2 linked regions of the Drosophila melanogaster genome follow. The protein of the gene in region 1 interacts with the protein of each later gene in a pairwise test. Each region holds a gene or a part of one and is shown on either strand. Other genes may lie near its edges.

Evidence for each region. The genes of interacting proteins can lie anywhere in the genome.
Region 2: the proteins of Rpn3 (region 1) and Tao interact in a two-hybrid assay, tested with the Drosophila melanogaster proteins (one large-scale study listed by BioGRID).

Annotation. Positions count from the first base shown.
Region 1 is NT_033779.5:19,050,056-19,054,224, reverse strand, and holds Rpn3 (regulatory particle non-ATPase 3), read right to left. Parts: upstream 2,436-4,169; 5' UTR 2,172-2,435; coding exon 2,008-2,171; intron 1,947-2,007; coding exon 626-1,946; 3' UTR 544-625; downstream 1-543. Other genes in the region: l(2)37Bb (lethal (2) 37Bb), read left to right, coding at 2,727-3,128, 3,191-4,169. UniProt on the Drosophila melanogaster protein: Acts as a regulatory subunit of the 26 proteasome which is involved in the ATP-dependent degradation of ubiquitinated proteins.
Region 2 is NC_004354.4:19,576,801-19,581,685, forward strand, and holds the start of Tao (Tao), read right to left. Parts: upstream 3,001-4,885; 5' UTR 2,598-3,000; intron 1,703-2,597; exon of another isoform or gene 1,102-1,702; intron 795-1,101; 5' UTR 695-794; coding exon 465-694; intron 400-464; coding exon 1-399. Other genes in the region: CG14218 (uncharacterized protein), read right to left, coding at 3,746-4,134, 4,196-4,859. UniProt on the Drosophila melanogaster protein: Serine/threonine-protein kinase which regulates the Hippo/SWH (Sav/Wts/Hpo) signaling pathway, a signaling pathway that plays a pivotal role in organ size control and tumor suppression by restricting proliferation and promoting apoptosis.

The DNA.
Region 1 (4,169 bases):
CGCGTATTAGGGCATTTAATACGCACGGCCTTTAATTAATTTGCATTGTGTGCACCTTTTTGTCTAAAAATTTTTTCCACTTTGATTTGTGTGACCGTGGCTGCTGTTTGTGTTGTTTGCGCCAGTGTGACCGTTAATACTGCCGACCAAAACCTTCGTCAGAAAAAGTGTGCTTTTTGTGGAAGGTCGTGTTTAAAGTAATTGAAATAATATTTGCATCTTTTCCATCTATAATTTACATATCATAAATTACCTCTATCAATCAGAGAAAAGTCCTGCCAATGTACTTAAGGGATCTTTAATAAAATAGCTTTGGAGGGAAAAGATCTAAAGAAGAATATGAATCTATGTTGCCAGACTTCGTTTTAAATTAACGCGCCAAGGCTGCCAGAAGAGTGACATTTTTAAAATGTTTTTCCATTTCTAACCGAATTGAAATTTTTGATTGTCTACCAACAACAACATACAACTTTTTGCTTGAATAAAAAGAAAGATCAGTTCTGAACTATTTTTGATTTCCAATACCTAATTAAAAAAGTTCCGAAATTATTGTAACTTATTTAATTGCGGATTATATTTCTATAAAAATGAATGCAAGCACAAATTAATTTGCAGAATCAGCCGCTTAGAAACCATCCTCATCATCCTCGGCCATCTCCTTGGCCAGCTCAAGGTCCTGCTGCTCCCGCTCGCGTCTCTCCTCGGCGCTCTCCAAATCCTTGCCGTAGGACTTTGGGGGATAGCGCATGGCCTTAACGCTCTGGTTGTGCAGGTTCAGGCAGAACGAGATGCGCTCGTGAAAGGCCAGCTGCGGTTCCCGGGTGCTGTAGATGTCCGTACTTTCCTTGCTGCGCATGAAATTCTGGGCTGGGTCCAACGTAGCCTCAATCACGCCGTCCCGTATAGCCTTCGATACAATAAACTCGGCATCCTCCGCGGAGTCTAGCATTAGCCGCTTGGCAATGTCTTGCGGCGAGATGCGTGAGTACGATAGTCCGATGGAGCGGATTGCCGTCTTGATCACATTGTGGCGCAGCCGGATAATCAGGGTGAATGTGTGGTCCAGTTGGAACTTGGGTCCGTATTGGGATACCACGTCGCCGAAGCGCTTCAAGTTGCCCAGACGCACGGCCTGCGTGAGCTGGAAGTAGGCACCAAGAGATTGGCGAAGACCGGCTTGCCGGAACACCACACGCTCCGGGATGTTGCCCAAAAGCAGCTCCACAACGATAATTAGCTTTTGAACCGTCTGACGAAAGCCGATGGCAGCGTGCTGCGGCGACTTACGCAGGGCCTGGACCAGATGCTTGTGGGCATCGCTGTACTCCAGCTTAGCGGCCTTAATCCGACCTAGATAGTACAGGAAACGCGCCCATTCATTGTTGCTGGCCGATTCCGGGTAGACGGATTTCTTTACCAGCTTGTCGGCTTGGTCGTACAAAGCATAGTGCAAGTAGTTGCGGAGCAAACAGTTAATAAGCACCGCCTGGCCTTCAAAATCATTACGCAGCGTAGCGGTGCGCAGACGAGCGTGCAGGAACGAGCGTATGCCTTCCAGTGAGTTTTTTAGCTCCGCCACTCTTGAAAAATAGAAGTAGGACTTGGCACCAATCAGATCAAGGGTGCGTCGGTTTTGGATGGAGATTTTGGCCATTAGGGCGTCGGCGCTAATTCCGGCCCGCTTTAAATCACTGGCGTCGATGAGCTTGACCAGCAGGAGCAGGTAGAAGTAGGCATCGACCTCGGCGATTGGAGCCTTGGTGGCAACTTGTTTTTTGGGAACATCGGGCAGCTCGGTGGCGTCTTTCTCCACAGCGGGCATCAAAGCCACGGCCGCCTCACGATCTGCACCAGCGGGGTAAATACTCTGTGCAAGATTCCGGAAGACGACGCCGTTCAGCTTGCGACGAGTGTTGGGCAAATTGCGAAGGACGCGCAGGATGAAGCTGTTGGCGGAAATGAGCCATAATAAGGAAGGGACAAGATTTTAATTCTTGCACTACTCACCGCGACTCTTTCGAGGCTACCCCCTTCTCAATCTGACGAATCTGCTCGCGGATCTCCTGCACGGCGGCCACATCTTGGTTCTTCTTCTCGTCAGCCAGCGTCTCCGCCGTTGGATCCACCTCCATCTCCACGTCGTTAGCACCGATGTCCGTTGCGTTGGTCATTTTGTAATGGAACTCTCAATTTACTGGGGTCACAAATATAGCCGACTTTTCTTTTGTTTTTCTCAATCCCAATCAAAAATGCCTAGTAATGTCGCTTCTTCTTCTTATTCGTTTTCGGCTACAGGCAGTGCTGGTAAATTTAGTTGGTTAACAGAGCTGTTAAGCCGTTACGTTTCAATTTATCGATACGTTTTACGGTACACTGAGCGAACTTTCAGTCTCATATGTTATAGGAATTTATTTTTAATGTTTTACAGTAAATGTATCTATTGCTTTAATTTGGGTTAGGAATTTCTTAAGTTACGCACTCAGTAAAAGCGTATTTTTATTTAAATTGCAATAAAACATTACCACAATTCCGTTAAGCCTTTTCTTAAGTTACGCACTCAGTAAAAGCGTATTTTTATTTAAATTGCAATAAAACATTACCACAATTCCGTTAAGCCTTTTCGATATCGATACTCCGATAACATCGCACGTTATTACTATTACAAAATAACACAAAATAAAAAATTAATACGGAATATGAATTAAATTAAAATTAAAGAGAATAAAATGTTGCGGTACAGACAAGTGGTGGGTCTCCTTCAGCGCCGTAATTTCTCGGCCGGAGCAACGAGCAATGGAAGTGGATCTTCCGGGGGCGACAAATCCGGCGAAGACCTGCACCCCATACGACGAACACTCCGTTTGCTCGGGAACGATATGCGCAAAGTTAAGGAGTTCTTTGTACCAAAGGAACCGGAGACCGAGAAAGTTCCCATTCCGACACAGAGCCAGTTTCACTTTTCAGGGGAGCGCGACAAGAGCAAGGAAGCCACTGTGCCGGATGACTTCCAGACCCATTGCGATGTGCTCATCATTGGCGGCGGTGGAGTGGGCAGCTCCATCGCCTATTGGCTGAAGGAGAAGGCCCGCGACGGTCTTAACGTTGTGGTGGTCGAGAAGGATGACACGGTAGTAAAATGATGTGTACCAGTCTACCCCGAATATTTAATTTGCCTTCCACATATTTCTAGTATGCCCAGTCAGCCACGCGTGTTTCGGTGGGCGGTCTTTGTCAGCAATTCTCCCTGCCCGAAAACATCCAAATGTCACTATTTGCCGCAGACTTCCTGCGAAGCGCAAGAAAACACTTTGGCGAGGAAGTGCCTCTCCAGTTTACGCCCCATGGCCATCTGATGCTCGCTGGCGAGGAGCACGCGGAAAGCCTGAAGCGCTCCTCTCAGCTACAAAACGAACTGGGTGCCCGAAATGAACTTCTCACTGCAGATCGACTGACTGCCAGATTCCCCTGGCTAAACACCAAGGGCATCGCTTTGGGCTGTCTTGGTCTGGAAAAAGAGGGCTGGTTTAATCCGTTGGCACTTCTGAGCAATTTCCGACGGTCAGCCAGTGGCTACGGCGCCCATTTTATCAGTGGCCAGGTGGTCGACTTCGAGTTCAAATCCCAAACGGACATTTCTGTTGTCACAGATCTTGGTTCCAACGAGGGTGCCTACACGGGCTTGGAAAAAGCGGTCATCCAACTGCCCGATGGTACGCGACGCACTTGCAAGTTCGCCCTGTGTGTAATAAGCGCCGGTGCTAGTTCCGAACAAATCGCGCGATTAGCAAGGATAGGCGTGGGTCCAGGAATACTTCGGGTTCCGCTGCCCATCAACGCACGCAAGCGATACATGTACGCCATCAACTCGCAGGCCCAAAGTGCACCCGGAATGAATATGCCCATGACAATAGATCCGTCGGGCATCTTTATTCGCAGAGATGGCCTGGGCGGCAACTATATTTGCGTGCAAGATTCGACGGAAGAGTATAATAGCGCGATGATTGATCCGCAATATTTCGCCCAGCACATCAGACCCCATTTGTATAATAGAATTCCCGTTCTTGGAGAAGCCCAAGTGGTGGATAGCTGGGCGGGCTGCTATGATCATAACGTATACGACGAGAACGGCATTTTAGGAGCTCACCCGTACTACAACAATCTGTACCTAG
Region 2 (4,885 bases), on another chromosome or scaffold:
AGCGACCACACGTCCACCTTGCCGTCGTATTGGCCCTCGTCCATGGCCAGGATCACCTCGGGCGCCATCCAATAGGGCGTGCCGACAAAACTGTTGGCCGGACACTTGATGGCAGCGCTACCGAAATCGGCCAGCTTGACGACGCCGTTGTCCGTGAGCAGGATGTTGCCCGCCTTGATGTCACGGTGGATGCGGCCCAGCGAGTGCAGATAGCTCAACCCACTGAGCACGCCCAGACAGATGGCGGCGATCTCGTCCTCGTGCAGCGGCTTCTTGTGCACCTCGATGATGTCCGAGGCGGAGCCCACGCAGTACTCCATCACCAGCCAGGCGGTTGATTCGCGCAAATAGCATCCCTTGTATTCTATGGTGTTCGGGTGGTTCAATTGGCGAAGGAAGCTGTTGTGTACACATAAATTGATTAGAAGTCACTCGGGCGAACGCAAGTGTCAGCCAGTGCTCACCGTATCTCTTTGAGAATATCCTGCCACTTCTCCTGGCTCTGCTTGCCGGTGTACGACATCTTTTTGATGGCCACGATCTCCCTGGTGAGGTTGCATCGCGCATAATAGACCGCGCCGAAAGACCCATGGCCGATTTCGCGCAGGTCCTCGAAGATTTTCTCCGGGTCATGCTTGTTGAATAGGTCGGCTATTTCCGGATCCTTGAGACTACCAGGTCGTGCCGAAGGCATGGCTGTCTTTCATGCTCTAGCCCAGCTCTCTCAGTGGTCGACCTGCGTGCTTCTCCTCGCAGCTTGCAGCTCCAGCTGGCTACTCTGCTGTCTTGAAGTTCTGTGCGGATCGGGTGGGGCGAAAAAAAGGCGATTCCGGTTAGTCAGTCACATTCACAGCCTGCGCCAGTCACTTAGTCATGTTCAAAGGGTCGACATTTTTGGGGGATTTCAGGCTGAAACGCTGAGACTGCGGACCAATTGAATTGGGCGGCACGGGGCGTAGCGGGAATGGCTGGGCCAGTGGACAGTGGGCACTGTGCTTTGGTCAGCATTTGCATGGGGAGACGGTCAAACGGACGGACGGATGGGAACAGCTAAAAGCCGACTATCATCAAATCGATCAAGTGATTCATGCTCGCACATACTGTACGAATCATTCAAAACTCCGAATTCCGCACGCAGCACGGCCTTATCGCAAATATATTCACTGTTGGCACCGTCTTTTATGGCCAGGCTATTTTCCTCAGCTTGTTACCAACTTGTCAGCTGCTTTTTGGCCAGATTACGACAGCTGGGGTGTAAGTGGTCTAGGGCATTTGGCAGTCGGTATGACTAACGCCGTTAAGTTCATTTGCTTGGATTTCGAACAAGTAATGAGTGGAGTGGATGCGCACGTGCAGTAGGGCGGTATTTGTGGTCAAGCTGGACTAACTAGCTAGGTGTAGGGTATGCACACGTGCTGCAGGGTAATCAAAGGTCGTTACGACTGACACACAAACACACGCGAGCTGCCAAGGAGTAACGGCACCAAAGGGGTGCATTTATCGCCGTTGCGAATCCAAATACACACACACACATGCATACATTGGAGTATGCATGTCTGTGCATGCGGAGGCGTTTTGCGGGCGTCTGCGGATATCCGCCGGCTAAAGACGCGGATTTTGGCCCCCGTCGGAGCTCCGGCTTTCGCCTATCGCCGCCTGGCAAAAATTCTCAATACAATTAGTCCGCTGTGGTGCGGCGACTGCAATTCTTTGCCTGCGACGCGAAACAGAAACACGCCTATTTTTCATAGCCACCACACTATTGCACAAAGAGCAGCCATGTCGCTCACACACACTCACGCGCGCGCTCTATATGTATATGTGCGGTGGGATTGCTTGTTGTTTTGCATTTCGGGCGACACAAATTCAATTCAATTCGTGCCTTTTCCGTGGCTTGCACTGTGCTGTGGCGCTCCGTCACAGGGAATTGTAGTAGAATACCAAAGAGTTCTGCGATTCGAATTGATTTTCAGTTGGGTTGGCTTTTCCTTGGGTGCGGACTAGGCACACACCGAAGGAGCCGAAAAAGAACGCACGAAGGCGGTGATGCTGCGCCAGTTGTTGGTTTTCTTCGTTGACTGACCACTTATTGACTGATTACCATGGTTGATCTATGTGTTGCGATTAAAATTGGCTTATTTCGCTGCATTTTGCAACTGTTTTGAATCGCCTAATTTTGTTTTGCTTGCACACACACACACTCACGCTCGTCGGGGGAGCAGACAAATACACACACATTCGTATGGTTCGACTGGTGCTATCCCGTTCTCGCGCGTTGAGGGAGTCGTCGCACCGAAATCAGATGTAGCACTCAGAACCCGCAAATGCGCTGTATTTGATTGAAATTTGTGGGATCAATGATAATACCACATTGTTAATTCAATGGGCAGATGGCACACAAGAAATTCGCATTTATTGGCCAAAACGCAAACGCGAAAAAGAACAGTATGCACATACACACACGTACACGAGCATACGCATTCACACACACAGGCACACACGCACACAGGGATGGAGAGACAGTGGAAAATGCATAAATCTGGCGAGGCGAAAAAGAAAAAACGTTTGAACTTTTTCCACTGCGTTCGAGGGCTTACATTTGGCAATCAATTAGTGCTTGCTTGTTTATCGGCGCAACTGGGTCTCGCTTTTCGCATCTGTATGCATTTTTCCCTTTCATACGTCGCTTTCCCTACGACCGCTGCTGCTGTTATTGGCCCTGCTGCGACTGGGAACGGGAATCGGAATGGGACTGGTAGTGGTAGTGATACTGCTACTGGGAATGGCAACTATTGCCCTGCACTGCACACGCGTTGCGTTCACGAATCCGCACTGGCTACACATCTCGAGTGCCAAGCACCGAATTCGGGGGATCGTTACGTCGCAGATGCACCCATCTACGGCATGGAAAATTGGCAGCGATTGTCTATTTGCAACTTTTCTTCACCCGTTTCTCTAATTAAATTCCGTAAAGTTCACGTTCACACAGCACACAGTGTTACCAGATCAGCCGAGCGGCTTGAAACCAAAAACTACCACTGACCGCTTTTTACTAAAAAATCCCGATTTTAGGCGATATATTTAAAATTAACTTATTTTTTTCAATATGTTTGCGAAGTTAACTCTTGCAGAGGCGTTTTTATAGTTGAATTCGCTCAATTCAATTAGTTTTAAGAGAAAAGGTTCGTTTTTTGGTCTCTATCGATAGTCTATCGAACGTGCACCGGGTGGTGATGTCCGTGGTTACGCTATCGTTTTGGAATTATTAGTTTTTTTTTTTAATGTTTGAAAATCAATAATTTAACTTATACAGAATTCTGCAGAATTACAGCTCACGAAATCGCAGTTGGGTATCTATGTTAGAAGAACACATATATGTATCAAATTTTTAATAACTTTTTAATAGCTCAGTTCGCTAAGTCAAATACCGATACTCATCGCAACAAGTTTGGCGCACTTTTTGAAAACATACTGATAATTTCATGATACGGTATTTACTTAGCTATTTAACGCCCTCCTAGTTAATATAAATTACGGGGAACTTACATTATTACTTTATTTGATATGTTATTTACAACTATGCAAACTGGGAATACAAAAAAATGGATGCTTATATTTAAAATAGTTTATGTTCAATTTTAAGCACACTGCAACACATAAGCTATACATATGTACATACACATAATATATCAAGCTGCGAAGTTAATTTTATTGCCCACGTTGGAAAAATGAGAAACTCTACCGCTTAATTATAGAAGTACTGCTGCTGATTGAAAGTTGGGAAGCGATTCGTGTTGCCAAGCTCGAGGGGCGGGAAGTAGCCTTGGGATGATGCGGGAATACCAGAAGCACCCGCTGAACCCTGATCCTGACCCCCATCCTGACCCGCATCCTGAGCCCGCTGTCCAGCAAACGGCTGCCCAAAGTCGTCATCGCTCTCGTAGTTGACCAAAAATCGCGAAGCACTTGGTGGGGGAGAAGCAGGTTGGGAGTCAGGCCCATCTGCAGTGACAGGAAATGCAGCCGCATCCGGATCGGCAACTGAGTCCGGGTCCTGGGAGTCAACTAAGTCTCCGCTGTCTGGGTCAGCCGCCGCCGTCGCCTCCGCCACGGCTCGCGACCTAAAGAAGGTATCTGCAAAGTGTCGGAGAGAACCCAATTGTACGGCAGTTAGTTAAGAGGTTTCGTATTTTACCAGTAGGTTGTGCGTACTGATAGATAAGGCGGTCGCCCAGCTGGGCGGGACGCCGCTGTTGAGGATCGGGCTGCTGGGGTCGTGGGCGCGGCCGTGGCCTTGGGCGTGGCGGAGCTGTGGGCGGCGGCGGAGGAGGTGGAGGCGGTGGAGGTTCAGCTGGCGCCGCTGGCTGCGCATCATAGTCATAGTCGTAGTCATAGTTCGGCGGAGGAGGCGGTGCCAGTGTCGTTGGGCGTGGACGTGGTCGCACCTGCGGTCGGACGCGTCTAGGTGGCTGTGTAGTGGGCGGCGCAGGCGCTGGAGGTCGTGGTGCCGGAGGATCAGCGTAGTCCACATCGAAGGCCCCGGGCAGGAAACCGGAACTGAAGAACGGATGCCAGATGGGCTTACGAATGCGTATCGGAGCAGGTGGTGGTGGCGGAGGCGGCGTCGTCGTGGTGGTCGTCGGTGGACGACGTGTGGTCCGCGCCAGATTGGCCTTAGCCGAGGACAGCTGGGCGCTCTTGAGCAGCAGGTTACGCAGGAGCAGGCCAAAGTCCAGGGTGATGGTGCCTCGCTTTTCTCGCGCCACCTCCGTGTCCTGCGGCCCAGGATCGGCTGAGATCAGCGCCAGGAGCAGGCCCACCAACAGCAGGGCCATCAACTGCAGACGTAACATCCTCATCCTGACGGATCAAAGAGTATGTGTGT